Linked DNA regions of Oryzias latipes. The protein of the gene in region 1 purifies or fractionates together with the protein of each later gene. This does not show direct contact. Links are inferred from orthologs where the notes say so. Each region holds a gene or a part of one and is shown in the gene's direction. Other genes may lie near its edges.

Region 1 (4,335 bases):
AAATCCATGTTTGTTTCCTAGTCTGAGTTGGGAGCTGGCTCAAAACTGCATCGATGGATAACTCTATTGTTGTTGCACCTGTAATATTAGGTTGGGGGTAGTGGGAGAGAGTGTAAACAAAAGGATGATGGGAAGTGTGACCACCACAACTTAGAGGCAAATTCTGATGAACTGCTGCTGTTCTGCAGAAACTACTGTATGTCCTTGCAGTGGGACTTTGATTTTTGTCATTATTAGCATCAATTTTTAGGTATGACCAAAAAGTGGATTTATTAACATTATTCTGTTTATTAGTATAATTCTGTTTATTAACGTTATTCTGTTTATTAACATTATTCTGTTGGCAGATATTCAAGTAAAATATCTAAGAAAGTTAAACATTCTTGCACCTCCCTTTGCTAAATTCTAGGCTCGGATATCTTAGCCTTTTTAAAATCTTAACATTTTTGCAACAACTTAATGATATTTTCATACTGTATGACTTTTATCAACAGCTTTATTCCACCAAGACGATAAAAACGGTTCAACGTGACATCAGCAGCTGTCCCACAAACTCACACTGAAGAAGACAAACAAAAGCGACAGATATGTGTGCACAGATGAATAAAACCTATAGGGTTATTAATCATGACTTGAGTGGAGAATTGTGATTAAAACTAACACGTAATATGTCGCATATGAGTGAAGTGTATCTGTGGAGAGTCTCGTTCGTCCAGGATGATGTTTCCAAATTCACCTGGACTTTAGATTTTTAAGTTGACGAGGTTTTGCCTCTTATTGAAGGAACTTTCTCAATTCTGTGACAAACTGAAAAGAGAACTACTTTTTGTAAGCGTCTCGGAGGAAGGAAATGGTCTTGATGTGGGTGACGACAAAGTGACGAAGAGAAAAAACCTTTGTTTTTGACCTTAGCATGCCTTTCAATGGACTTACATTAGACTCCCCCCAAAAGACTACATTGATGACCCTTTTTATACAGTAACTACTTCTGTAAAAGTGTAGATCTAGATCATCTCAGAAATAAGTGACTGTTTATTACAAATGTTATTGCCCGTGAAATCAAAAACCAGGTTTTCTAGGACAAAGCATCTTCATTTTCAACTAAATGAGACGGAGGTGAGAGATGATCATCTGGGCTTTCTTTAAAAAAATTGCACATTAGAGTAGCTGCACTAGAAGAAAAAGGATGTAAAAGAGAAAACAGTTGGCTTTTCTGTTGGCAGTTCCTTTTTATTCTTTAAGGTTGTAATTTTTTTTTAATGTTTAATGTACTTTCTTCCTGACACGACAGACGTATTTTCAACACAGCCTTTTGTTGTCCCAACGAATCCTGCTGGATGGATGTTCTTGCCTCAAGTCCTTCTGCATCTCAAACCCTGATCTCACATGTCGCTCCCTGCCCCTGTGAAAATAGCGCACTTCTCAGAAATGTAATCAGTCGCATCTCACTTCAGTTCGAGCACGGGGGAGTGATTGAAGACAGTTGAACAAGAAGGGAGTGAACACAAACCACATCCGACCCTGAAAGAAGAAGAACCTGGGAAACGTTTCACTGTTTTTTTCCACTCTTCGCCTGATGCTGAGGTTTCTGCAGCAGTTCGTCTGAGCTACTTTGGACTCGTTTATGCGGCAGAAGAAGAGGAAGTATGTAGAGACAAACAAACATTGCTACATCCTCAGTGAACAGGAATAGGAAGTATGAAGAGGAGAAGAAAAGAGAAAAAAAATGCTCGTGTCAAAGTAACTGTTGGCATGAAGTTTCATTCGGTTACAAAGAGGTATTTGGAGAACGCTCGCTGGCAGTTGGTCTGTAAAAAGTGACTTCTTTGGAAGAACCATTGAAACTAAACATGAGCGATTCACTTGAGAGGACAACAGACTGCCTACTTAGTGAAGACAGCTCCAATCAAATGGAAGAAAAGGACAAGGCAGGAGTTGTGAGCGAGCTGCGCTGGCAAGATGAAGGCCTATCGGTGGAGCTGCTGAGAGGGATGGAGACCCTGCGGGTGAACAGAGAACTGACCGACGTGACCATCTGCGTTCAGGGACACGACTTCCTCTGCCATCGAGCCATTCTTGCTGCTGCTAGTCAGTACTTCAGGTACTACAAACTATTCTACACTTGCAACAAGGCTTGTTTTTGGACATTTAAGATATTCTAGCAGGTTTTAAGTTTTTTTTACCTGATCTTTGCTCCACACCTTTCCAAGCTTTTCTCAAACAGGAGAATTTCTTGTCTCTTTGAGAGCTAGGATCTAGAAATTAGGACATTATTATTAAAATGAGCCAAAAATCCTTTTGCTCTAAACTCCTGACGACAGAAAAACTATATATGAAGACTCAAAAAACAACAACTCAAATTACACTGTAACTGTTATTTTAAAGTTTAATAAACGTCACCAAAGTCATCACAACCGCTGTGCTCTGTGGTTCAGATCATTTACTACTCCTTAGTAATTTTCTTCCTAGGCTTTAGTGCTCTTTTCCTATTTTTAGGCCACATCTTTTTTGCATTGTGAGCATAATCGAAACACTGCAAAAACTGAATCTTAGGAAAGTAGAAAGTCCCTTGTTTCAAGAAAATCGTCTCATTTTTCATGTCTTTCAAGACAAATAATATTATCCAGAAGTTTTTCAAAACAAGGTTAATCTTAGTGTGAGAAAACATGTCTCTGTGACAAATGTTTAAATTCTTGGTTGGGCCATTTTTCCTACACCTCATTGGCAGATTTTATTTGATTATTTATTTTGACTTATTTCTCAGGGACACGTTTTTGCAGTGAAGATGGTGAAAAAGTGTCTCTGTGTGTGCAGGGCCATGTTCTGCAGCGGCCTCAAGGAGAGCCACGAGGACCGTGTGGAGATCAAGGGGCTCGACAGCGGAACCATGCGCACGCTCCTGGAGTACACCTACACCAGCCGAGTCTTCCTCACACACTCAAACGTCCAGGGCATCCTCGAGGCTGCCAGTCAGTTTCAGGTAAAAAGGTTCCACATGACATGGAGACACTTTGTGTTAAAGGTGTGATGCACAATGTCAGCATACTTTCTGAAATCTTCATGTTCAGCTGCTTTTTATGTTTTTTTTATTCTTTTTTGACCACAGGAAGCACAAAACCAGAATTTTATGTTGTTATAATTTAACATGTCTGTATTCACAAATCCATACATAAATGGCTGCATACATTTTTTTAAAAGTGTCCTTTAAAATTGATGTTTCAACTAAAATTAATACATTTTCAATGGGAAAAATGGTGGAAAGCTGCTTAAACTAACAAAGGATTTCTACACCTAAAGCTTTGTATTAGCTGCAAAAACAGCCCCGTGACTGGCTATTTTGTTTTTTTCTATTTTAGTTTTGCTCCATGTCTGTAGATAGCAATGACCGGAAAATACATATTAAAAATAAAGTTTATTTAAAAATAAATAACTAAATAAAATGAATCTAATTTCGCTTCAGGGCTTTTTTTAAAAACAAAACTCTCTTACTTTACAACATGAAGGGGTGCAAACATGTTTTTCTGAAACTTTCTTATCTAATAGGGAAGTGAAAGTGGGCCAGTTGTTCATACTTAGGATCAGTTTTCCATACAGACTCAAATTATCTTCACAGCTGTGCCTTAGAGAAAAGAAGACAGCTGCTTTTACTGCCAAACCTTTTGACGGTTTTCACCGGTATTACGCTTTACGAGAAAACTAGCAAATTTATTCTCGTGCATTTTTTTTTAACTTGTCCTGTCCAACAGCTGGGCAAACAGATGAGAGCTGAAGGCCTCTTGTGTTGGACATATTTTACTTTAACAACAGGGGTTACATTCTTCTGACAAACCAGAGGTATGTTTGAATAAACCCCTTTTGTAAACGAGGCCAAACTTTATTCATTTTAATTATATTTGAAAATCTTTTTTGTTGGACCGGACGGAAAAGGAAAGGAGGGAGGAAGAAAGAGGGACATTAGGGGGGGGGGGGGCAGCATAAAGCAACAAGTTTCCGGATGGTTCCAATCATTACAGTGAGGTTCAGATGTAATACAAGTCTATAAGGGCGGGGCCTGTCCACACACACACTCAGATGTTATAAACATACCTGTTGGCTCCAAACAATGTCAGCATGTCAACATGAACACAATACAAACACGCATTTATGCCTTCAAACAAACTAGTGTGAAATATTTCATTCAATCACATAAACTATTTGTGCAAAAGTGAGCTAAAATCGGTGCTCAAGTGAGTGTTTATGTTCTTATAAAATATTCTTGTGCATTTTTTATTCACAAATGTTTTGGATCATAGCTGGTAATGAGAAGTTTTAAAATTCAAAACCTAAAACTCTCAA
Region 2 (4,343 bases), on another chromosome or scaffold:
GCGACTTGGAAGGAAAATGATGGAAGTAAAGTGTGTAGGTTTTGGACTGCGTTATTGTGGCGAGCGTCCTCAGGTGACCAAAAAACAAAAAGGTTGCCATGGAAATAAAACCATCAGAAAGCTGTCATTTTGGAAAATGCTAACCATTTGACTTTCCTTTGGTTTTATTTCTGATTTGAAAGGTGAACTATTAGAGCTCGCAGAGAAATGGAATAATGGTCTTTAGTTTGGGAGTTGAAGAACCAATGATGACTTTTCACTCTCAGATACAAACATATGAATGAAAGTTCATATGAAAGTCTGGACGAACAGATCTGGACCTAATCTGAGCCATCAGTGCAGAAGTTTTTGCCTCCGTTCCATCTAAAACTACCTGTTGTCGAGTCTTTAAGACAGAAATAAACTTCAGCTTGTTGTTCAAGAAAGAAGGAGAAACACGTCTGATTTTTAAATCAACCCATCAGCTTTCAGAGTTGATTTAAAACTAGTTCCTTCGTTTATAAATGTCTAAATGGATCCAAAATACTTTTTTGAACCTCTTAGAGCCCTCAGATCCTCACATGCAGGTCTGCTCTACTTCCAAATGTTGAGAAACACTGAGAGGTTATTAACTGAAACGAGATCTTTAGATAGATTTAGTGTCATTTGAATGCAGCGCCCTCTGTCGGTGGATCCTGAAACCAATGGGTTTTCTTCAAATGCTGAAAACCTTTCCGGATTAAATCGTGGCTTTAGCTCACTTGGATTACAGACACGCATTGATTTATGGGGGGAAAAAGTCTTTAAAGAAGTTAATCGTCTCTTCGTTCTCGGCAGGCCAACATTTCTCACAGAAAAGCTTCTCGTTCGTAACCAGAATATCATCGTTTCTGAGACGTCATCATTATTTTTAAGAAAAGACGTTTTCGATAAAATAAAATGTCTTAGATGTTAATAAATGTTCATTTTGTTGTCTCACCAGCAGCCTCCCGCCGCAGCTGAAGGACGCGGCCATGTTTTCTTGTACCGTCTGAAGCGGAACTACTATTGTCCTTAATCTATGTTGTTTTATAACAACGTTTTTATTTAAAAAGAACAACAAAAACGCATGCTTTATATTAAAAACAACTTCCAAACTAAAAGTGTCGATCAAAACAGCCCTTTTTATGTTTTTATGACCGTTTGTTTTTATGTTGTTTCTTAGGGAGCGTTTATGTAGCTGGAACGGAAATAAATCATTTTTTACAGTATTTTGTTGTTGTTGTTTTGCGCTTGATTTCAATGAATAAATAAAATTAAATTGGTGCATATTTAAGTGGGCTCTCTAATTTGTAAATTAGCTTGCTTCAAGATGATTTCGACGAAAAGCAAGCTAAAAAAACAAACAAAACGACTGGTGTGCTCTTATTTTGACATGGTGGTACCGGAAACTGCGTCATTGTTCTGGAAAAAGACAACCGTAATCAGAGAGACAAAACAAACCGGCCTCATTTATACACTGTCGTTCGTGGTTTTGGTCACTCGGGTCATTTCGGAAAAGGGCTCGCGCTCGCAGCCGCGATGGCGTCGCCGCTGGAGATGACGGAAATGTACGACAACGCTCTGCTGGGGATCCTGCAACACGTCGGAAACATTCAGGACTTCCTGAGGGTCTACTTTGGGTTTTTGTACAGAAAGACGGACTTTTATCGACTGCTGTCCGGTCCCGACGACAGGATGGGCTTCCCTCCTGGAGTCGCAGAGAAGATGGTGCTGAAGGTGAAGTTTTGTAAAGGCGCTCGCGGCGTGGCGCGTGCCTTCCTTCCGAGCGTTTGCCGCGAACGAACCAAAGTTTCAGATCTTGTTTAGATTCGTGTTCTGGTTTGGGTTCTTGTAGAGATGCGCCACAGATAATAATATCTACACTCTAAAAACACATCCCCAGCGTGTTTCAGGACCGTTTAAAAAATGTTTAGGGGCCCTGGGCAAACCTGACTGCAGGGGCCCCGTCATCTCTCCTGCCGCTCAAAACCCCAGACGCCTCTTTCTACTGAGCTGGTTTCAGTGGAACCAGTGCCTCTGGTTCTCCAAACTCCTTCTGAGCTCCAACTGGTTTCTGGATCCCACGGCAGACTTTCTTTTGTCCGCAGACGTTTAGGCTGTTCGAGCAGATGGCGGATCAGGACCGGCAGAGGGCGCTGAGCCAGCTGCAGAACGCGGAGGAGAGCCGCGGCGTTCCTCCTGCAGTCCAGGAGCTGCAGGTCTCCTCTGAGCCCCCAAAGGCAGAGGAGAGGAGCAGCGTGGAGGCGCCACAACCGGAGAGCGCCGCCAGCGAGGCTCCAGACGCTGCGGCTGCTGCCGGTGAGGCTGCGGCCCCCAGCGGCAGAGGAGCTCCGTCGTCTCAAGGAGATGAAGCGGCGGCGGCGGGAGAAGGGTGAGCATCCGGCGCAGAGGAGGAGGAGCTTCCTGGACGGGCCCGCCTCCTGACGGGTTTGTTTTTCAGGAACCAGGACATGTTTCAGGCCAACCCCGACAGCTACAACGGAGCACAGAGGGAGAACTACAGCTGGTCTCAGGACTACACGGACGTGGAGGTCCGGGTCTTCGTGCCGAAGACGGTGGTGAGAGGCCGACAGGTGAGTCCGAGCCGCTGCGCCGCCAGGAGGTCGGCAATCCGGCGCTGACGGGGGCGTGTCTGCAGGTCAGCGTCAGTCTGCAGCCCAGCGGCATCAGAGTGTCCACGAAGGACGGCGGCGAGGAGAGAACTCTGATGGAGGGGGAATTCACGCACAAGATCAACACGGAGAACTCCCTGTGGAGCCTGGAGCCCGGGAAGTGTGTCGTGGTGAGAACCGGGACAGAACCGGGCCCTGTTCACCAGGAAAGAGCGCTCTCTCCGGGCTCATGTGGGTGTTTGTGACTCGCAGCTGTCGCTCAGCAAGACCTCCGAGACCTGGTGGAACGCGGTGCTGAAGGGGGAGGAGGAGATCGACATCAACCGGATCAACCGCGAGCGCTCCATGGCGACGGTGGACGAGGAGGAACACGCCGTCCTGGACAGGCTGACGTTCGACTACCACCAGAAGCTGCAGGGCAAACCGCAGAGCCACGAAATGGTGAGGAAGCAGCTGGGCGCGAGGGGCGGGACTTTAGATCAACGCTTTCATCGGAACAGCCAATCGGTGCTGAGCCCAACAGAAGAACTCACGGAATAGAAACGCGAGGATCGTTTAAAAAAAGGCTCATGGGCACTAAGGTAGAAAGATGCTAAACTAGCTAAATATAAGAGCGTAGGAACAAAATTAAAAACGTTATTTCCAAAGTTACGTAGTAAATAAGACGCATTAAACAACCGGTGCATCATGTGAGACGAAAGACATTCTGGACCTTAGTTGTATTACACAACGCGTGTTATTGCTGTTTAAGCCACTTTAGCCGCATAAGCCACGTTTGCCATGTTAGCCACATTAGCAGCGTAAGCCAGCTTAGTCATGTCAGCCGCATTGGCAACGTATGCCGCGTTAGCTACGTAAGCTATGTTTGCCATGTTAGCCGCATTAGCCACATTATCTGAGTTAGCCACATCAGCCGTGTTAACCACATTAACCACGTTAGCCCCATTGGCCGCGTTACCTGCGTTAGCCACATTAGCCGCGTTAGTCATGTTAGCCACGTAAGCATAGTTAAAAACTGCCAACCATGTTTGGGACACGTAAAACTGTTACTGGTAAAATAAAACGTCACCCTGACTACGCTAAATCCCAACTTTTGTAATAACACAGACATGCTATAGTAACGTATTTACCATAAACCCAACCGTTTTTTCAACTTGTTACAAAAATTGACATTCTGACAGAGCGCCATGTTCCTCAGGAAATCAACAACAATCAACATCAGTAAACAAAAGCAGAATTAATGCATAAGCGACACACACGGCTCGACAACTGTTGTAATGCCGGTAGAGGTGTTCTGCTGCAAGTCGCCTGTCAATCAACAGACCACACCCCCATTAGCACACGATTATGACTTGTAATCGTGTTCCCTCGTTTATCGTAAACGTTCTAAAACTACGGGACGGATGTTTTAAAACTCACTTTCTAGACTTTTCTCAGACAAACATTTTCACACTTTTCTCTCCTTCAAACTGACAAAATTCAAACATTCGTAGAAAAAGAAGTTTAGTTTTATAGAAAGAAAACAAAGATCTGATCAGGATTGAAGATTTCTGTAAATGTGGAAAAGTGAACGCATTCTGTAACACAATGGAGGTTAAGGATTTTAAGATTTTGTTGTTTTATTTCTTGGAAACTTTGAAAAGTTTTTATGTGAAAATGTGTCAAAACTGACTCGTGTTCAAAACGTCCCCTAGTGGTCACTCTGTGAAA

Evidence for each region.
Region 2: the proteins of klhl6 (region 1) and nudcd3 purify together in Homo sapiens (affinity purification with mass spectrometry; 3 studies listed by BioGRID and IntAct, counting the BioPlex papers as one, with this or other methods). This does not show direct contact. The link is inferred for Oryzias latipes from reciprocal best matches to the Homo sapiens genes KLHL6 and NUDCD3.

The regions. Positions count from the first base shown.
Region 1 is NC_019879.2:24,301,158-24,305,492, reverse strand, and holds the start of klhl6 (kelch-like protein 6), read left to right. Parts: upstream 1-1,398; 5' UTR 1,399-1,850; coding exon 1,851-2,101; intron 2,102-2,814; coding exon 2,815-2,980; intron 2,981-4,335. UniProt on the Homo sapiens protein: Involved in B-lymphocyte antigen receptor signaling and germinal center formation.
Region 2 is NC_019870.2:1,856,944-1,861,286, forward strand, and holds the start of nudcd3 (nudC domain-containing protein 3), read left to right. Parts: upstream 1-1,404; 5' UTR 1,405-1,539; coding exon 1,540-1,737; intron 1,738-2,108; coding exon 2,109-2,392; intron 2,393-2,461; coding exon 2,462-2,594; intron 2,595-2,659; coding exon 2,660-2,803; intron 2,804-2,885; coding exon 2,886-3,074; intron 3,075-4,343. Other genes in the region: mrps24 (28S ribosomal protein S24, mitochondrial), read right to left, coding at 959-994.